2 linked regions of the Daphnia pulex genome follow. Each later gene encodes a partner of the first gene's protein in a complex. Links are inferred from orthologs where the notes say so. Each region holds a gene or a part of one and is shown in the gene's direction. Other genes may lie near its edges.

What was found. Proteins that work in one complex are often made in the same cells at the same time.
Region 2: ATP-dependent RNA helicase SUV3 homolog, mitochondrial-like (region 1) and polyribonucleotide nucleotidyltransferase 1, mitochondrial-like share a complex: the UniProt entries of both Homo sapiens proteins name them as parts of the mitochondrial degradosome (mtEXO) complex. The link is inferred for Daphnia pulex from reciprocal best matches to the Homo sapiens genes SUPV3L1 and PNPT1.

Annotation. Positions count from the first base shown.
Region 1 is NC_060020.1:9,000,074-9,004,037, forward strand, and holds the start of ATP-dependent RNA helicase SUV3 homolog, mitochondrial-like, read left to right. Parts: upstream 1-1,164; 5' UTR 1,165-1,303; coding exon 1,304-1,574; intron 1,575-1,639; coding exon 1,640-1,862; intron 1,863-1,926; coding exon 1,927-2,215; intron 2,216-2,300; coding exon 2,301-3,261; intron 3,262-3,323; coding exon 3,324-3,445; intron 3,446-3,520; coding exon 3,521-3,710; intron 3,711-3,795; coding exon 3,796-3,964. UniProt on the Homo sapiens protein: Major helicase player in mitochondrial RNA metabolism. Component of the mitochondrial degradosome (mtEXO) complex, that degrades 3' overhang double-stranded RNA with a 3'-to-5' directionality in an ATP-dependent manner.
Region 2 is NC_060027.1:3,573,348-3,577,522, forward strand, and holds the start of polyribonucleotide nucleotidyltransferase 1, mitochondrial-like, read left to right. Parts: upstream 1-1,375; 5' UTR 1,376-1,408; coding exon 1,409-1,548; intron 1,549-1,631; coding exon 1,632-1,906; intron 1,907-1,972; coding exon 1,973-2,612; intron 2,613-2,685; coding exon 2,686-2,859; intron 2,860-2,928; coding exon 2,929-3,131; intron 3,132-3,209; coding exon 3,210-3,370; intron 3,371-3,436; coding exon 3,437-3,748; intron 3,749-3,822; coding exon 3,823-4,175. UniProt on the Homo sapiens protein: RNA-binding protein implicated in numerous RNA metabolic processes. Catalyzes the phosphorolysis of single-stranded polyribonucleotides processively in the 3'-to-5' direction. Mitochondrial intermembrane factor with RNA-processing exoribonulease activity.

The DNA of each region.
Region 1 (3,964 bases):
AAAATGATCTCCAGTTTTGAAATGCACATATAAAACTCACCTTTGTTTGTTAATCTCACCAATTTCTCTTTGATTCAACGAGCTTGAAAATCAGAAACAAATGTCACTTAGGCTTGCTGGAACATAAACTTGTGTGTCAATTGTAGCCAAAGTAGTCTGCACGCGTAAAGGAATTGTTATGTAAAGGAAAATTCTCCAAAATTTTTCGTGGGATCAATATAAACGGGATTGGTCACGAACGGTCACGAAATAACCGGGGATAAAAGCAGCGTGCCTGTGTCGGTTATCTGTTGAAACATCGGACTTATGCAAAAGAATCAAGAATAGGAAATTGCAGAGCTACTAAATGTTGCTAAATGTGTGACGCGTGTTTTTATCAAACCAAATGGTAAATGCGCACGACTAAATAAATGGACTCTTCGGGGGCGCTAGGGCGGGGGCACTGGAGACTTGGTCGAAGTTGATTTTGACTTCACAAAATTTATTTAAATGAATTAAACAAGGTTCTGTTTTCTGTCTCTGCTGTCTTCGTTTTCTCAGTGAATCTGGATAGCCAGATATGGAAGCCTAAAACCGGCCTATTTTCAATATAAGACTAAACTTAATTGATCATTCCTTTGATTTTTTGTGTTCGCGATGCCTCAAATACAAAAAAGGAAAAAAAAGTCTATTATATTCTCTATATATTCATATAATAGACATTCGAAGTTTGAAATCAGCTTAGACTTTTTCATTTACGGTGAAAAATGATTTATTTTAATGATTTGATGAAAAAGCTACATTTCCTATCGATAATTCTTTTTACGAGCCCTTGAGAGACTTTGTGTTTTCGTGATGTTTCACGATTTGCAATCCCGGATCCCGGTTATCTCGGTATTAAATAAAGAAGATAAAAATATGGACTTCGTGTGCCCTTCGTGTCGTTTGAATCGTCTTGCGATTTTGCACAGGATAGATCTTTCCGGATTCTATTTCCGTATTTACTCTGTCTTTATGGGAGTGTCAAATAATCGACTAGGCCTATACTCTGTTTGGAGCCTGCCCTAAACGCGGAGTAAAAAGAAAGGGACCGACAAAGGCAACAATCAGAGACAAGCAACCATCACGTGACTAGGCGGGGTTTATCGGTGCAGGAGAGATGGCCGTGTAGCAATTTCGTCTGCTAACGTACGGCGTTCCCATAGTTACCGGAACCACATACAGCAGGGCCATGTGGTTTTCCCAACTCACCATGTATGAAATATAGTGCCTACAGTGTGTCTACCTTAAAGTCCAATTACTATAATAGAAATCATCAATCAACATGCTTGTGCCTGGCCTAATAAAGTATCTTGTGAAACACAGTGTTTATGTTTCAAATTTTAACTATTGCAGGATTCTAATAAGACAAAAAAAGACCATGCCTCCAGTGTCACAACTTATGGTCCCTTTACCTGTCAAATCTGTGCCAGATAGTTCAAATGTGGGTGCTGAATTAACTGGAAAACTCAACAAAGAAGAAATAATGAAATGGTTAGCGAAATTCTATCAACGAAGAGAAATTAAAGCTGCAGCTGTGGAAAATGGAATTGACAGTATGTGTTTATTATGTCACTAATCTTTCTGTGTGATGAAAACTAAACAAAAGCATTATTTGCAGATTACATATATCATCAGACATACCTCAGTTTCAGAAAATTTTGTCTTGAAGATGACAAGTTGCCAGTTGATTTACATGTCACCCTAAGTGATATCATAGCAGGAGCTTGTCATTTAGATAGTTTGTTACCATACTTTATTCGGCATGCAAAACAAGCTTTTCCTCATTTAGAATGCCTTGATGATTTGAAAAAAATTTCTGATCTTCGACTTCCTGCAAATTGGTAAAATTTAGATAAATGTGATTATGTAAAGATTTATTTCATTTTGGTTCTTTGATATGTTTAGGTACCCTGAAGCAAGAGCTTTGACACGCAAAATTGTATTTCATTCTGGCCCAACAAATAGTGGGAAAACATATCATGCTCTTGAAAGGTTTTTTAATTCAAAATCAGGAGTTTATTGTGGTCCCTTAAAACTTTTGGCATCTGAAGTGTATTACAAAAGTAATCAGCGTGGTGTCCCATGTGATTTAGTAACTGGAGAAGAAAGAAATTTTGCTAATGCTACTGATAAATCTCCTTCTTCCCATGTATCCTGCACTGTTGAAATGGTCTCAGTGAACACTCCATATGAAGTATGTACAATTTTTCAATATAATTAAATTATCAATTTAACCGTGTGATTTCTGACATTGTTGGTGAAATCTTGAATTTTCATAGGTTGCTGTTATTGATGAAATTCAGATGTTAAAGGACCCTAGTCGCGGTTGGGCATGGACAAGAGCATTATTGGGTGTAGTTGCTGAAGAGGTGCACGTTTGTGGTGAAGCCGCCGCAATTGATGTTGTAAAAGAAATTCTCATGAGTGCCAGCGAAGAAATCGAGATGCGTCGATATAAACGTCTTACGGAGCTAATTATCGAAGATGCTTCTCTGGGAACCTTAGATAAGATTAGGCCGGGAGACTGTTTAGTTTGTTTCAACAAGCAAGACATATTCTGGTCTATGAGACAAATTGAAGCTATGGGCATTGAATGCGCAGTGATTTATGGATCACTACCACCTGGAACAAAATTAGCGCAAGCCAAGAAGTTCAATGATCCCGATCACCCCTGTAAAGTTCTGGTTGCTACTGATGCTATTGGCATGGGATTGAATCTGAATATTGGCCGCGTTATATTTAATTCTCTCATCAAACCTACGACAAATGAAAAAGGGGAGAAAGAAATGGACACTATAAGCACTTCGCAGGCTTTGCAAATTGCCGGAAGAGCTGGCCGGTATGGAACCCAGTTTTCGACTGGCTATGTAACAACTCTAAAAAATGAAGATTTGCCAACACTCAAACGACTTCTATCCCAACATCCAGAGCCAATCAATCAAGTTGGTTTACATCCAACAGCCGAACAAATCGAACTCTATGCCTATCATTTGCCCCATGCTAACCTATCGAACTTGATTGATATATTCGTCAATTTATCAACACTTGACGATTCTCTTTATTTCATATGCAACATTAACGATTTCAAGTTTTTGGCTGACATGATTCAGCACGTTCCTCTACCTTTGCGAGCTCGGTATGTATTTTGCTGTGCTCCTATCAATAGGAAAATACCTTTCGTCTGTTCCATGTTTTTGAAGTTTGCACGTCAGTACAGCAGGAACGAAGTCCTTTCCTTCGGTAACAACACTATATTATTTATATTACACAACCGCTGTTATTTATGCCCAAATTTTTACCAGATTGGTTGGGACGGCAAATTGGCTTGCCTTTTTCTTGCCCCAACACGTTGCTCGAATTAGTTCACCTTGAATCTGTATTTGATGTGCTCGATTTATACCTTTGGTTAAGTTATCGCTTCCAGGTAAGCATGTCATACATTGAATTAATTTTTAAATAGGAAGAATTTAAAACACAACAACCTTAATTCATTTAATAGGATTTGTTTCCGGACGCTTCTCTGGTTCGAGATATGCAAAAGGAACTTGACTGTTTAATTCAAACAGGTGTGGCGCAGCTTACTAGACTATTAATAAACTCGGAAACCGGAGTAAGCAGTGGAACGAGTCAAGCGGTCGAGGCTGAAGAAAACCAACATGTTCCGAGTGCTAAGAAAACTCCCTATTTCCGTAAGAATTTCTGTCAAGAACCATTTCACTTTCCATTCATTTGGGTTAACGCATCTTTCCCTTCATGTTTTTTTTTTTTTTTCAGACAATGCAGTCAATATCGTGAACTCCGTATCATCTCATGGAAGGATAGCCGATCGCCTGTTGTCTGAAGGTTTGCTGACACCTAAACTTCTGGAGGATTTGAAAACAGAGTGGCAGCGTGAAAAGGACAATGAAACGGCCCATGAAACTGTTGGCACCGTCACTAGTCC
Region 2 (4,175 bases), on another chromosome or scaffold:
GACGACTGGGAGCCCACAAGGACGGAAAGGAGCAGCACGCGACGCCATATAAAAGCCATGTTTGCTGCTGTGCTGGCCATGTCGCGCACTGTCTAAATAAAAAAAAAAAGGCTCTATCGGATGATTCGAACAAATATTGTACTGGTGGACGTGACTGGCTGGTTGCTGGTACTACACACACTGAGGCGCATTTGCATTCGGCCAAGAGATTCAGACGAATTAAAATAAAAGAATCCGAAAAGATTGATGGAATACAAAAAGGCCGGACGGGGGCTAGGTCACTCCTGATGGATAGCCAAAGGCCGAGAGCCAATGTCGTAAGTGCATACTACTAGTCTTGATAAGAAAACAATTTTAATTTTATTTTTTAAAGACAACTAAAACCCCCCAGAAAAGAATAATATTAAAAACAGAGTGTAGAGAGAGTATACAGGTTTTGTTTTCAAGTTTCTCGTGGCCCAGCGCCATCTTTGACACGTCAAGGGGGTGACGACTTGTTTCATAAGCCAAACAGACAGTTAATGGGTTTCCTCCTTCTTACAGACAAAAATCATTATTTTCTTAAAACAAAAACAAAAAAAAAGAAGAATATGATTTTTCTCTTTTTGCTTTTATTTTTTCATTATTATTATTCGTATTTTTATTTTGCCTGTAGTCGGGATTATATTCAGAGTAGGGACAGCATCTCAGACGTCGGTTTCCATAAATTATATATACGGAGATGTATACGTATAAAATAGCCTCCCGCTATAATAAAGCCGGACGGAAGGAAAGGGCTTTACTCGAGCTGGACTTTTGCTTTTCACTATATAATAAGCATGTCCCCGAGTGTTTTCATGGGAATCTTTTTTTTGTTTTTCTTTTCTTTTTTTTTGAAAAGGTCATTCTCTTCAGTTTTCTGGAGAGTACACTTTAATTTCTGAGGGGTGTGTGCTGTGTGTCTGGCGATTATATCCGCTCAAGTTTTGAATTAAAACAAAAGAAACTTGGGGAACAAGAAGAAGAAGAAGAAATCCAACTTTGGAAGGATCTGCTGCTGTTGGCAGGCAACTCCTTGTACCGAAGGCTAGATTAATGATATTACAGGGAAGGAGCAGTCGAGAAAGAAACGATCAGCAGCTAGGCCAAGTCGTTACGCGATTATAATTCGGGAGAGAGAGAACCATTCGGGGCTTGATCCTTTCGACGCTATAATCGTTCCAACTTTTTAAGATTTATGACAGCAGTTAAAAAAGAAAGAAAAAAAAATAGAATAACCGTTATTTATATCTGCGTATTACACGATAATGATTTAATGTGGAAATGAATAGGATTTAAATCCGTTTTTTTGGAAAAATCAAAAGTCGGGTGAGAAAGGTCTTTGTTATCGGCCCGTATTCGTTTTGAAAAATGTTTTCGTCTGTTGAAAATGGCTGTCCACGTGAGTAGGAGCCGGCTCTATTCACAAAATCTTTTTGTAAATCAATATTCCGGCGTTCGTTTCGGTAGAATATGTGCCAGTTACATCAAAAGATGTGAATCCACTGTCAGTGTACCTTTATCTTCAGGGTATGTTTAATTGTGGACAGCATTCAGTGCTGCGAGAGGAAAGTTCCAGCCACTATTACATTCATATCTATTGATTTTGACAGGAAAAAACTGGTATTTCAATCGGGGAAATATGCTCGATTCGCCGATGGAAGCGCCGTGGCATCCTTTGGAGATACTGCCGTATTGGTTACGGCTGTGAGTAAAGCCAAAAGCTCACCAGCTTCATTCCTGCCTCTTACCGTTGACTACAGACAGAAAGCCGCTGCAGCAGGCAGAATACCCACCAATTTCTTGAGGAGAGAACTTGGGACATCCGAAAGAGAGATTCTGACTAGTCGCATGATTGACCGATCCCTTAGACCACTCTTCCCAGATGGTTTGTATTAATCATGTATTTGGGTGTGCACCTTCAGACGAGACTAAAGTGAATATTTCTGTTTAGGGTACTTCTATGAAACTCAGGTTGTGTGCAACTTGCTATCTGTCGATGGAGTCAACGATCCAGAAGTGCTGAGTATCAATGCTGCCTCTGCTGCACTTGCCATCTCAGACATTCCTTGGAACGGTCCTGTGGCAGCAGTTCGTGTGGGTCTCATTGACAATGAAGTGGTTATCAATCCCACAAGAAGAGAGTTGGCCCACAGTCAGTTAAACTTGGTCGTCAGTTCCACTTCCCCAAATTTGGTCGTCATGCTGGAAGCTTCAGCCGAAAATGTGTACCAGCAAGACTTTTTGAAAGCCATCAGAACGGGAGTGAAAGAATGTCAAACTATCGCCAAGGCAATCGAAAAATTGCGGAAAGATGCCGGGAAACCCAAACGGGAGTTTACCGTCTTGCCGTCTGGCTCGGAGGAGTTGCTATCTGCCGTCAAACTATTGAGCGAAAATCGATTGCGGGTCATTCTGCGCGATTTTAATCACGACAAGATTTCGCGTGACGTTGCAGTTGCCACCGTACGAAACGATGTCATGGAAAAACTAAGAACCAGCTTTCCTGATACGGATCCAATGATTATCAGCGAATCCTTTAATAAATTTTTCAAGGAATTCTTTCGACAGCTTATTCTAGATGAAGAAATCAGGTCGGTTTTTTTATTAATGGTTAAAAACAATAAAATTAAGATTCAATTTTAATATTCTACTCTGTTTTTCAAGGTGTGACGGGAGGAAGTTGACTGACATTCGTAACATTTCTTGTGGTGTTGACTTGTATAAACCACTACACGGATCCGCCATCTTCCAACGTGGTCAAACTCAAGTCGTTTGCACTGTAGCCTTCGATTCACCGGAATCAGCCTTAAAATCCGATCCAGTCTCCATTCTTATGGGGTAGGCATTTTCTTGTACTATTCAACATTTCATGACTTGATTGCATTCGTAATGTTCTTTGGTTTTCAGTGGATTGAAAGCCAAGAATTTCTTCCTCCATTACGAATTCCCGCCTTATGCAACCAACGAAACAGGAAGAGTCGGATCAGGTGGTAGCGCCGGTCGTCGTGAGCTTGGCCACGGAGCTTTAGCTGAGAAAGGTCTCAGACCTGTGGTGCCCAGCGACTATCCGTTTACCATCCGTTTGACTTCTGAAGTCTTAGAGTCCAATGGTCAGTTTTGAAAATTTATTTAAGCTGATAAAAAATTTCCGAAGCCTTTTTTTGAATATTAACCTGTGAATTTTTCAGGTTCTTCGTCAATGGCCTCGGTTTGTGGAGGTTCTCTGGCTCTGATGGACGCTGGAGTTCCAATTTTGCAGCCGGCAGCGGGAGTAGCGGTTGGTTTGGTCAGTCGAGTAAACCCGGAAACTAAACAGATTGACGACTATCGCATTCTCACCGATCTTCTGGTAAATTTTTATTTGAATTAACTTTTTCAAATTCAACTTGATCATCTCAATTTTTATTTTCAACAGGGCATTGAAGACTATTTGGGAGACATGGATTTCAAATTAGCCGGAACCAAAAAAGGCATCACGGCTCTCCAAGCAGATTTTAAACTACCTGGTGTACCTTTAAAGATAATCATGGAGTCGGTGGTTCAGGCTAGCGATGCCAAGTCGCACATACTCGACATAATGGCTCAGACAATCAAACAGCCGCGTAATGACAAGAAAGATATCTGGCCACTCTCCGAAAAACTGGAAATTGAAGCTCACAAACGACCTAAATTTGTCGGTATTGGTGGTTCAAACCTCAAGAAATTAACTGCTGAAACAGGAGTTCAGGTATAAACCCCGTTTTATCACGTTCCTTTTTTCCTAATTTTCCAATAATTCAACTGTTCTCTCTTGTCTGACAGATTACCTCTATCGATGACTTGACGTTTTCCATCTTCGCACCCAATCAATCAGCGATGGACGAAGCCAAGGAAATGATTGAACAATTTCTGAAGGAAGAAAAAGAGCCGGAACTAGAATTTGGCGCCATCTACAAAGCGCGTATCGTCGAGATGAAGGAAACTGGTGTGCTGGTGACCTTCTACCCCAAAATGGTTCCTACACTCCTTCACAATTCACAGCTGGACGTACGGAAAGTAGCCCACCCATCTGCCCTAGGACTTCAGGTAGGAGATGAAATCTCTATTAAATATTTCGGCCGGGATCCAGTTAGCGGCAGGATGCGGTTGTCGCGTAAAGTCCTTCAGTCGGTTGC